Saccharomyces cerevisiae S288C: one gene and its partner. Changing the gene in region 1 together with any one later gene gives a genetic interaction. Each region holds a gene or a part of one and is shown in the gene's direction. Other genes may lie near its edges.

Region 1 (5,985 bases):
ACGCACAATAGACCCCCATCTTTTCTTCAGGTTCCCCTCAACCCAAAGCCTGATTTCGTCTTGCAGCCATTCTATATCGTTCAATGGATCATATCCTCTTGTGTTCTTCCCCTCTGCATCTGTGGTTCCACTAACGTCCACCACATGAATAAGAGCATCTGCGTGTCTTAAATCATCCAAGAATTTATTTCCAAGCCCTCTGCCGGAATGCGCTCCAGGCACAAGCCCTGCCACATCCAACAGTTTGATGGGGATATGCCTCTTACCCTTGCTACACCACCCGTAGTTAGGTTTACAAAGATCTTCCTTGCCAAATCTGGAGCAAGCACACTCAACTTGCAAGTAGCCGGTTGCCTGATTTGGCTCGATCGTGGTAAAGGGAAATGCTCCTACCGCCGCACCTGCGTCCGTCAAAGAATTTAATGTGGTGGATTTCCCTGAAGATGGCTTACCCACAATACCAATCAATGGATCCCTGGGCATACTGGCTCTATTTCCGTTTTATTCTTACAGACAGCTTATACTACAAGTTAGTTGGACAAAAGCTAAAAGACGGAAAACGAAAACGCAAAATGAAAATAAAACCAACTCTCATTACAATTCATCCTAGAACACTTACACATCTGTTTTGCACTGCATAGCATTACATTTCTTGCATATCTATCTATTCGAGAAAAAAAAAAAAAGGCATCGAGTGAATTTTTCACCTTGATAAAAAAGCCCTTACTAACCCTACAATAAATTGTGCCGAAACCCTCTGGAGTTTTCTAGAATATTCTAGCCCCATCAGGGCTAGAATATCCTAAAAGTTTATAGTTGACGAAAATTTTTCAGCGATGAGATGCACATTTATAATGCTATGATGTTCAACGCAAAGGAAATCATAGCGTTATCGGGTAGGTTCGCATCGTTAGCAATAGCTAGTCGCATATATACACAGAGATACATATTATACCTATACCGTTAAGAAATAGGATAGAAAATAATGAGCGAACAAAAGGAAGATTTGTTTAAACCAGTAGGAGAAGCTGCTGCAGAGGTCGAAGATGAAAGCATAGCCGAACAGAACAAAGCTAATGACGGCGTCAAGTTAACCGGCGCACAGGACGCCATGGGCCATCCAGTGCAAGAGATAGAGTCTCTTTGTATGAATTGTGGAAAGAACGGTACAACCAGACTTCTTCTGACTTCCATCCCTTATTTCAGAGAAATAATTATTATGTCATTCGACTGTCCTCACTGTGGGTTTAAGAACTGTGAGATCCAACCCGCTTCTCAAATTCAAGAGAAGGGCTCTCGTTACGTTTTGAAAGTGGAGTGCCGTGAAGATTTTAACAGGCAAGTTATTAAGTCAGAAACTGCCACTTGTAAGTTTGTCGAGCTAGACATTGAGATTCCTGCTAAGAGAGGTCAATTGACGACAGTTGAAGGTTTGTTATCCGAGATGATCGACGATCTGTCGCAAGACCAGGAAATGAGAAAATCTATAGACGAAGCTCTTTACAAGAAGATCGATGACTTCATACAGAAAGTTAAATCCTACATCAATTGTGAACCCAACACTATTCCGATTACATTTATTTTGGATGATCCTGCGGGAAATTCCTGGATCGAATACAAACCCGGTGAACCTCAACACAAATGGTCTCATACCCAGTACGTGAGAACCGACGAACAAAACGTTCAAGTTGGCATTATTACTAGAGACCAGTTGGAGCAACGTCGCCAAGAACAATTAAAACAATTGGCCAACCGTGAAAGAAATCCTTCTGAATCTGTCAAAGTTGGCTCAGCAAACCCACAGTTTTTGTCAGACGCCACCGACATCGAAAACTTTAACAACGAGGTGCAAACATTCAGAGCTTCTTGTCCATCGTGTACCCAAGAGTGTGAAACTCATATGAAGCCAGTAAATATCCCACACTTTAAAGAAGTCATTATCATGTCGACGGTCTGCGATCATTGTGGTTATAAGTCTAATGAGGTGAAGACCGGTGGTGCCATCCCTGACAAAGGAAGAAGGATTACTTTATACTGTGACGATGCAGCTGACTTGTCCCGTGATATTTTGAAATCTGAGACCTGTAGTATGGTAATTCCTGAATTACATCTTGATATTCAAGAAGGTACATTGGGTGGTAGATTCACCACTTTGGAAGGTTTACTAAGACAAGTCTACGAAGAACTAGAATCCCGTATTTTCACTCAAACTTCGGATTCCATGGACGAAGCAACGAAAGCCCGCTGGGTAGAATTTTTTGCCAAGCTAAAGGAGGCCATCGCTGGGAAAGTCAAGTTCACAGTCATTATGGAAGATCCATTGGCCGGGTCGTACATACAAAATGTCTACGCCCCAGATCCGGATCCAAACATGACTATCGAAGATTATGAAAGAACTAAAGAGCAAAATGAAGACCTGGGATTGTCCGATATCAAGGTTGAGTAACGATCGTTGGCCTCGGTATCACCTCCCCCTTTCCTCTTCCTCTTTACATATATCCTAACCACACAAGCACTCATTTGATATGATAATACTTATTCGTTTTTATTCAAATAGATAGCGCAGTCTTGAAGATTTACCTATATTTTTAAACTTTTGTATAATAGTTGAAATAGATAATACAGCATTTTTTGGCTCCTGCTTCATATCTTTTTTTTTAGGTTTTTGCTTTATATTCTTTCTTTTAACTCAACTTGTGCGGAGCAGAGGTAAAGAGGACAACTATAAATGCTGTCAAAACGAACAATCTACAGATATTTTTACGAAAAGGAAAAAGCGCAAGAATGAATCTTAAACTTTCTGCTATTGAAAGTTACTTTTTCCATAGAAGCAGACTAAATTTGCATTCATGTTTTTATGTCGGAATCAAACTCAACGAATTGCCCAAAAAAAGTCAACTGATAGCGGCTCTTAAGTATACTGTAATCCAACATGAACGTTTGACTTGTAATGTATTCTATGATGAATTGAAAAAGGAAAACTTCCTACAAAACATTCTTGAGCCACTGAAATTTTGCGATCTAGTAGAATACCGCCACGATTGGGACCAGTTAGGGGAAACCGAAATTAACCACATCTTTCAAAGGTATAACTTTTCATACAACGAGAATAAACCTTTATGGAAAATTCTGATCCTCCCTAATCAAAATCAAATGCTATTGCTGACAGATCATGTTCTCATGGATGGGATGTCCGCTATTCATGTGTGGGAAACGTTTATGGAAGGCCTACAGATGCAACAGCCGGTTGAAATTGATGAAACAATATATTCACCATCATTAAATTCATCAACTGAAAAAATAATGTCAGCCCCACTATACGGAGATTGGCCCATACCTTGGAATTGGCATATAGTGCGACAATTGGTCAGTAGACTACATTATTGGTTTCCACAAACAGTCGTAAAAAACAATAGAAATTTAATCCAATTTGCCAACTACTCATTTCCAAAAGACCTGCTGGATGATAAACCGAGCGATGGAACTCAAAAATACAAAGTTAAAAACACGAACCATCAATGGGAGTTTCGATTATCGCCGACCCATCTCAACGACATTTTACAAGAATGCAAGGCCAATAATACTTCGTTGACTTCCCTTTTAGGTGCCCTGGTCTGCACCAGTTTCGAAAAAATAGCTGCACATGAGTATACCGGATCATTTTTGAAAATTGAATTACCAATGAATATTAGAAAGCCTTTTGAACGAGTCTTGAAATTACCTTCAGATGATAAGCTCGCCGTGGGAAATTTTATTGCGGTCATAGAATTCAACCATAAACTACATCAAAACCGTGGAATATGGGATATCGCTTCTCAAATTCAAAGGGCCATAAGAAGCAGTTCCGAGGATAAAATAATAGATAAAGTAAACGAAGTAAAGTTATTGGAGGTTATTTCTTCTCAACAATACATAGAAGATAAAATTAGCTTGAATAACGGACCTTCTTCCACATTTGAAGTAACAAACTTAGGATTTCAAACATTTAAAGATGCATGCAACACCAGTTTACCGTTTTATATAGTGGATGCTACATTCAACGAGCCGCAAGGAATATCTTCAATTTTCTCACTAAGCGTAATCTCTACTCCTGGTAACGGACTACATTGTTGTATCAGTTATCCAAATACTCTCACTAAAGTGCTAGAACCCCACTGGCAATATATGAAAGATTACTTAAATTTATACTAGCAGCACTTCACTAGCTCAAATACAGAATAAAACCACATTTCCCACATGTAAATATAGAAAGCAGTTTATTCGCTCTTTGAAGCGAGATCTTCTTCGATAGACGTCACCTCAACGTCAGGATAGTCGGTGCCGTCAAATCTTGCTGATTGTTGCGCTTGAATAGACTCTTCATGTATTCTAAAAATGTTAATTAGTGGGAACGCCACAATAAAAATTAATACGAGTAAAAACATTGGTAAACCATCAAAAATATAAAGATACCACTCGTGCGAGGCAATTTCTCCGTCATAACCCTGAATAAATTCAACAGCTCTGACGATCGACCTAATTAAAATCAGGAAACTGTTCACCAATAAAGCAATGTTTAGGTATTTCCAACTACCATACCTTACCGATACATTGGTTGGTTTTTTGCTCATCTTGAAAATGAACAAAACCTCATTTATAATGAAGAGACCAAAAAAAGCAATTTGAATGAACAAACCAGCTGTAACGAGATGAGAACCAGAAGATGCACTTGTCACTTTAGACATCATAGCACCACCAATTGCTTGTAATAGAAGACTGCCTACATCGCCAATCACAAATATTGTAGTATTGAATCTAGCGGGCATGATCATTAAGTTTTCTGCGAACAGCAGAGTAGCCATTCTACCAAAAATCATGTAAATACTGGCAGCATATAATGTTGGAGACACCAGCAAGAAAACCGTTTGAATAATATAGGGGTTTAGTAGTGTGGTGTCTTTGCTTGATTTACATCTAAACGCAAAGCCCACACACTCAACAAAACACCCAAATATAAAGGGAATGTACGCTCCTGCTAAGTTTACCGTACCGTAATACCGCAATACGGGTTGGGACTTCATAAGAGAGCCAACTCTCCTTTTACTTTTCACAGAATAATGGAATAGTAAAATTACAAATGCTACCCCTGATACTGCAAAAAGTACCGTAAAAAGTATACTCGCACCTAATTCCGGAGTGTATCTATATAACTCGAAGCCGTCTTTTGCCATGTTCGAAGTGGTGAAAAGTGCTGACTGTCTATTACATACTTTTACAGGGTTTATTATTATAGAATGAAACAGGCAAGGTATCTTATCCCTTTATTATGAAAACTATATATACGCATAAGTCTTTTGCTGCATGATAAGCCCCTTCCCAAGAATATGACAACCTCTTATTGTTCTTTTCACCAAAGATCCACGGAACTCATCTTTAGCAAGTGAGGCTTGAAATATCACAGATATCATTGTGAATACCGCATTGAGCAGATTGTTGACAGCGGGCATCTTACTAACAGGCGCAATCTAAAGAAGCCGCGAAAAAAAAAAGAACACGCTAAACGATTCACCCATGCCAGCCAAGTGTAGATTTGTTTGTAGAGGAAAACAGTTGATGAGCAATTTACAGTGTTTTTTTATCTTAGTAATATTCATCAAAATTCATAGGAAATAGTCAATGATGCATGTCTGAAAACAAAACGACCTATATACCTTATTGTGGCTTGTAAAGTTTAAACTTAAAAATAAACTTTCTTTTTGAATGATAGATATTTCCGCTTTTGGATGCGCTTCACAAGAATAGAAGCAAAAAGTCCGGTTAAAATTGAAATATGATAAAAACCCAAACATATTAAAAAACCCAGACATAAAGAAAAAAACTTTGAAAAAAAAAGTATTATGCCGCTGAGCGCGCCACGTTAAAAGCTCGAATTCTTCGCATTGGTAGTAGCGCAAAGTCCAATGAGCGCACCTCAAGTGAGAAACGCAGGCCCAGAGATTCTCCAGG
Region 2 (4,865 bases), on another chromosome or scaffold:
TTAGCTTACCTATTAAATACTCAAAGAAAATACGCTGTGTATGCTTTTGCGGCACATCTATGTCATTAAATCTCTCCATGGCGCGTATATTTTATGACGGGAAATCTGAGGCCGATCGAGGAGGGAAATTACTAGAAAAGCTTATCCTTCTTTACCTCCGAACAAATTTTAAAATATACCTCAATGGGAATAAAGAATGCAAGGAAAGGCAAGGTTCAGCCTATGATGATGAATATCGTACTCTAAAATTATAGATATCTAACTGTGGGCGTATTAAACCTTGCTTTGGTCATTATCCAATCGTGTATGCAGAGAGCGGGGCGATATGCAGCAAACAAAAGGGGCGAAATAATAGTTACTCCAAAGATGAAATGGCAGAAGAAAATGGAAAACTATACAGTTTGCGAAGGAGGCATCCTCTTAGTTAAAAAAAAATTTGGACTCATTGCACTGCAAACAGAGTTTCTAGGATTGTCATATTTTGTACCTCCTGGAATGTTAAGACTTTCTCATTAATAATGGTGTGATACACTTATAGTTGGGTGCTAAAAGGTAACTGCAAGCCCCACATCTATAATATTACCGTTAAGTTTCCGGCGAATAGTTTCTCTTTTCGCCCCTCTATTTCTCCCTTCAAATGTGAAGATAAGGAGGACAGCCATAAATATTCCTGTAATGACATTCCATCTTGGGTGGACAATTTTATGGTATAATCAAGCGTATTTAGAAGTTTGGGCGACAGTATTTCAAGACGAGATGCATAAGTATTCTCTTCATCCTCAATCCCGCGATGCTAAAACAAAGTTTTGTTGTTGCATTCCATTTAAGTAGAGCAAAAGCGTGGCAAATCTGAAAAATTGCCACATAGGGTGCTAAATTTGGTATAATGGCACAAATAAACAATCTCAGTTTACTGACAGTGAACTACAGGAATATACAATTTTGAGGTGTTAACGACCAACCGTTAATAGCTTATTCTCTCATATGTTATACCACTGTAGGAAGAGGTGGTTTCAACTGTATTTTGAGCACAGGTAGATATAAGCTCTGGACAGTTTTGCTACCCCTTGAAAGAATTCAACAGTATTTTCTGAGGTACTCATCGTAAAAGATTGCTAATTTTGGTCGCGATGTATATAGGTAAAGGAGTATTTCCTAAAAGTTGCCAAAGATTATCAAAATATTACCGTGTTTATAAAATAAACTGACACCCGGATAATTAAGAAGTGGTAAGCTTATGTTAGAGTACTTGTACTTGACAAGTAAAATCAGAATTGGGAATTATCAATTGAGATCACGTGCAAACCGAAGAAATGCAAAGAAGTAAGGTTAGGGTTTATGGACCCAGGCAGCAGAAAATTGTAGCTTCATTTGTTGGCACAGGACTATTCCACCCTTAGAATTGACTTTTTGGACATTGAGCTAAGGTTCAATGCACTCGATGGTCTTCTCACTTCCGAATATATAGATCTAGCGTGTGAGGACTACTCATTGGCTTGCGATTTACGGTTTTTATATTTTTTGCCGCACATCATTTTTTGGCCTGGTATTGTCATCGCGTTGAGCGGACTCTGAATATAATCCTATTGTTTTTTATGGATCTCTGGAAGCGTCTTTTTGAAGCCAACCCAACAAAAATTCGAGACAAGAAAATAAAAAACGGCACTTCATCAGTATCACAAATACCATCAATTTATCAGCTCTCATGAATGAAATCGATGAGAAAAATCAGGCCCCCGTGCAACAAGAATGCCTGAAAGAGATGATTCAGAATGGGCATGCTCGGCGTATGGGATCTGTTGAAGATCTGTATGTTGCTCTCAACAGACAAAACTTATATCGAAACTTCTGCACATATGGAGAATTGAGTGATTACTGTACTAGGGATCAGCTCACATTAGCTTTGAGGGAAATCTGCCTGAAAAATCCAACTCTTTTACATATTGTTCTACCAACAAGATGGCCAAATCATGAAAATTATTATCGCAGTTCCGAATACTATTCACGGCCACATCCAGTGCATGATTATATTTCAGTATTACAAGAATTGAAACTGAGTGGTGTGGTTCTCAATGAACAACCTGAGTACAGTGCAGTAATGAAGCAAATATTAGAAGAATTCAAAAATAGTAAGGGTTCCTATACTGCAAAAATTTTTAAACTTACTACCACTTTGACTATTCCTTACTTTGGACCAACAGGACCGAGTTGGCGGCTAATTTGTCTTCCAGAAGAGCACACAGAAAAGTGGAAAAAATTTATCTTTGTATCTAATCATTGCATGTCTGATGGTCGGTCTTCGATCCACTTTTTTCATGATTTAAGAGACGAATTAAATAATATTAAAACTCCACCAAAAAAATTAGATTACATTTTCAAGTACGAGGAGGATTACCAATTATTGAGGAAACTTCCAGAACCGATCGAAAAGGTGATAGACTTTAGACCACCGTACTTGTTTATTCCGAAGTCACTTCTTTCGGGTTTCATCTACAATCATTTGAGATTTTCTTCAAAAGGTGTCTGTATGAGAATGGATGATGTGGAAAAAACCGATGATGTTGTCACCGAGATCATCAATATTTCACCAACAGAATTTCAAGCGATTAAAGCAAATATTAAATCAAATATCCAAGGTAAGTGTACTATCACTCCGTTTTTACATGTTTGTTGGTTTGTATCTCTTCATAAATGGGGTAAATTTTTCAAACCATTGAACTTCGAATGGCTTACGGATATTTTTATCCCCGCAGATTGCCGCTCACAACTACCAGATGATGATGAAATGAGACAGATGTACAGATATGGCGCTAACGTTGGATTTATTGACTTCACCCCCTGGATAAGCGAATTTGACATGAATGATAACAAAGAAAATTTTTGGCCACTTATTGAGCACTACCATGAAGTAATTTCGGAAGCTTTAAGAAATAAAAAGCATCTCCATGGCTTAGGGTTCAATATACAAGGCTTCGTTCAAAAATATGTGAACATTGACAAGGTAATGTGCGATCGTGCCATCGGGAAAAGACGCGGAGGTACATTGTTAAGCAATGTAGGTCTGTTTAATCAGTTAGAGGAGCCCGATGCCAAATATTCTATATGCGATTTGGCATTTGGCCAATTTCAAGGATCCTGGCACCAAGCATTTTCCTTGGGTGTTTGTTCGACTAATGTAAAGGGGATGAATATTGTTGTTGCTTCAACAAAGAATGTTGTTGGTAGTCAAGAATCTCTCGAAGAGCTTTGCTCCATTTACAAAGCTCTCCTTTTAGGCCCTTAGATCTCACATGATGCTTGACTGATATTATTCGACAATATGATTATGTCGTGTAAATAACCCACTTTCATGTTGTCACTCCCTCGGCTTTGGTTGGTTAAAGGGACTTATCGGTTTCTTTTTTTAGAGTTGATTTAAGATCAGATCGAAGTAAATAACGTGCAGAACATTGCATATGATAGATAACAACCTATAGTATATATTTCAAAATCGCGACAAATCTGAAATATTAATTGATTTGATTAGCTGCAGAGATCTTCTCGATGTAAGGAGCTATTTAAATAGAAAGGGTCAGAATCGTCGTCCTGTGGGAGCTGGTATATACTAAATTGATGAACAACTAAAATAGCACTCTCATTGTCATTTTGGGTGTGAGACCTTAAGCAAGGAGAGATATTTTTAATGGATGTATTAGCGCAGCCGTTGCTTACGGTATTCCTTGGCATATTGTCCCTGAAAAAAAACCGTTGTACACTCGGATACGCATTTTTCGGACTTCTCCCACCCAAGAAACGCAACTTTTGAAGGGCGCCTACACCACTAGACCAACAAGGCCAATGCAAAGCTACAAACAAATGCGTGGGCGCATGGGCATAAGGAGGTGTAAAAAGCTTTTTTTTTTTATGTGAGGAATTACAGGCGGAAGATACTCAAATAAAGCACTGATTTGATGTTACCGAACTTTTCCCCAGGCATAAAATTTTATTTTCATATTTCATCAATTCGATATTATTGATATCGCACCTAATGTAGTCATTTCCTTTCTCTCTTTGCTAGTAGATTTTAAAAAGGTTTCTTGCTGTATTTTTTTATACTTTTATAGACGCCGCTTTCCAAAGTTCATCTAAAATAAGTCGCTACAATGATTTGATCTTGATTCGGTGCTTCAGGAGCCTGCTTGCTTCTTTGCAGCTTCGGCAATTTGGAACCTTGTGTGCATATCCTCGTTTGTAAGCCCAGAAGCACACAGACATCGATCACATCTATAATAGGAGCATGCTATCATAAAAGATTCACAGTATTCGTATAATTACATGGCAGACTTTTTGAAAAGAATGGTATGGAACCAAGTGAGCGCCTAGAAAAAAAGCTGAAAAGCTGAAATCTTAATTGGATAAGAAACTTCAATAACATTTTTCACGCGTTTCTTTTTCAACTAGATTAGCCTTAACAAACGACAATCATCGAGTACCCACGCTCATTACGCTGAACGTGCAAATGTAACGGGGTGGAAACCTAAAACGTTGAATGAACTAGCCAGAACGATGACAATTGCGGCAAGCTTTCCATACGTGTTCTGTTGTTGCGGCTTAGAGTGGTAGGTAACCGCGCCAAGCAAAATTACCTACCACTTTAAGCCCAAAAAGGTGATGTGTAGCTATTGCGGCTGTGGCGGCTATTGCGGTTGTCGCCACGCTTGTCGCCAGGGTTGTCGCTACGAATGTTTCAGCTTTTTTTTCAATGGGCCACTCTTTTCACGTGAAGCGCTCCACGAAATGTGCGGATATTGCGGAAGCTCTCAATGATGAGCTATCGGTAGGGATTAAAATAAACGAGATTTGGCAGCAGTTTTAAATACCAAGGG

Evidence for each region. Genes that interact genetically often act in the same process or in processes that back each other up.
Region 2: of SLI1 (region 1) and ATF1, changing one suppresses a phenotype caused by changing the other (phenotypic suppression), as found in Saccharomyces cerevisiae (one study listed by BioGRID).

The regions. Positions count from the first base shown.
Region 1 is NC_001139.9:914,256-920,240, forward strand, and holds SLI1 (N-acetyltransferase), read left to right. Parts: upstream 1-2,784; coding exon 2,785-4,191; downstream 4,192-5,985. Other genes in the region: YGR210C (uncharacterized protein), read right to left, coding at 1-483; zinc finger-containing protein ZPR1, read left to right, coding at 986-2,446; RTA1 (Rta1p), read right to left, coding at 4,257-5,210. UniProt on the Saccharomyces cerevisiae protein: Confers resistance to the sphingolipid biosynthesis inhibitor drug myriocin (ISP-1). Inactivates ISP-1 by converting it into N-acetyl-myriocin. Cooperates with YPK1 in mediating resistance to myriocin.
Region 2 is NC_001147.6:1,044,521-1,049,385, forward strand, and holds ATF1 (alcohol O-acetyltransferase), read left to right. Parts: upstream 1-1,705; coding exon 1,706-3,283; downstream 3,284-4,865. Other genes in the region: YOR376W-A (uncharacterized protein), read left to right, coding at 676-831. UniProt on the Saccharomyces cerevisiae protein: Major alcohol O-acetyltransferase that uses acetyl-CoA to synthesize acetate esters from various alcohols, producing ethyl acetate, isoamyl acetate, isobutyl acetate, butyl acetate, hexyl acetate, heptyl acetate and octyl acetate.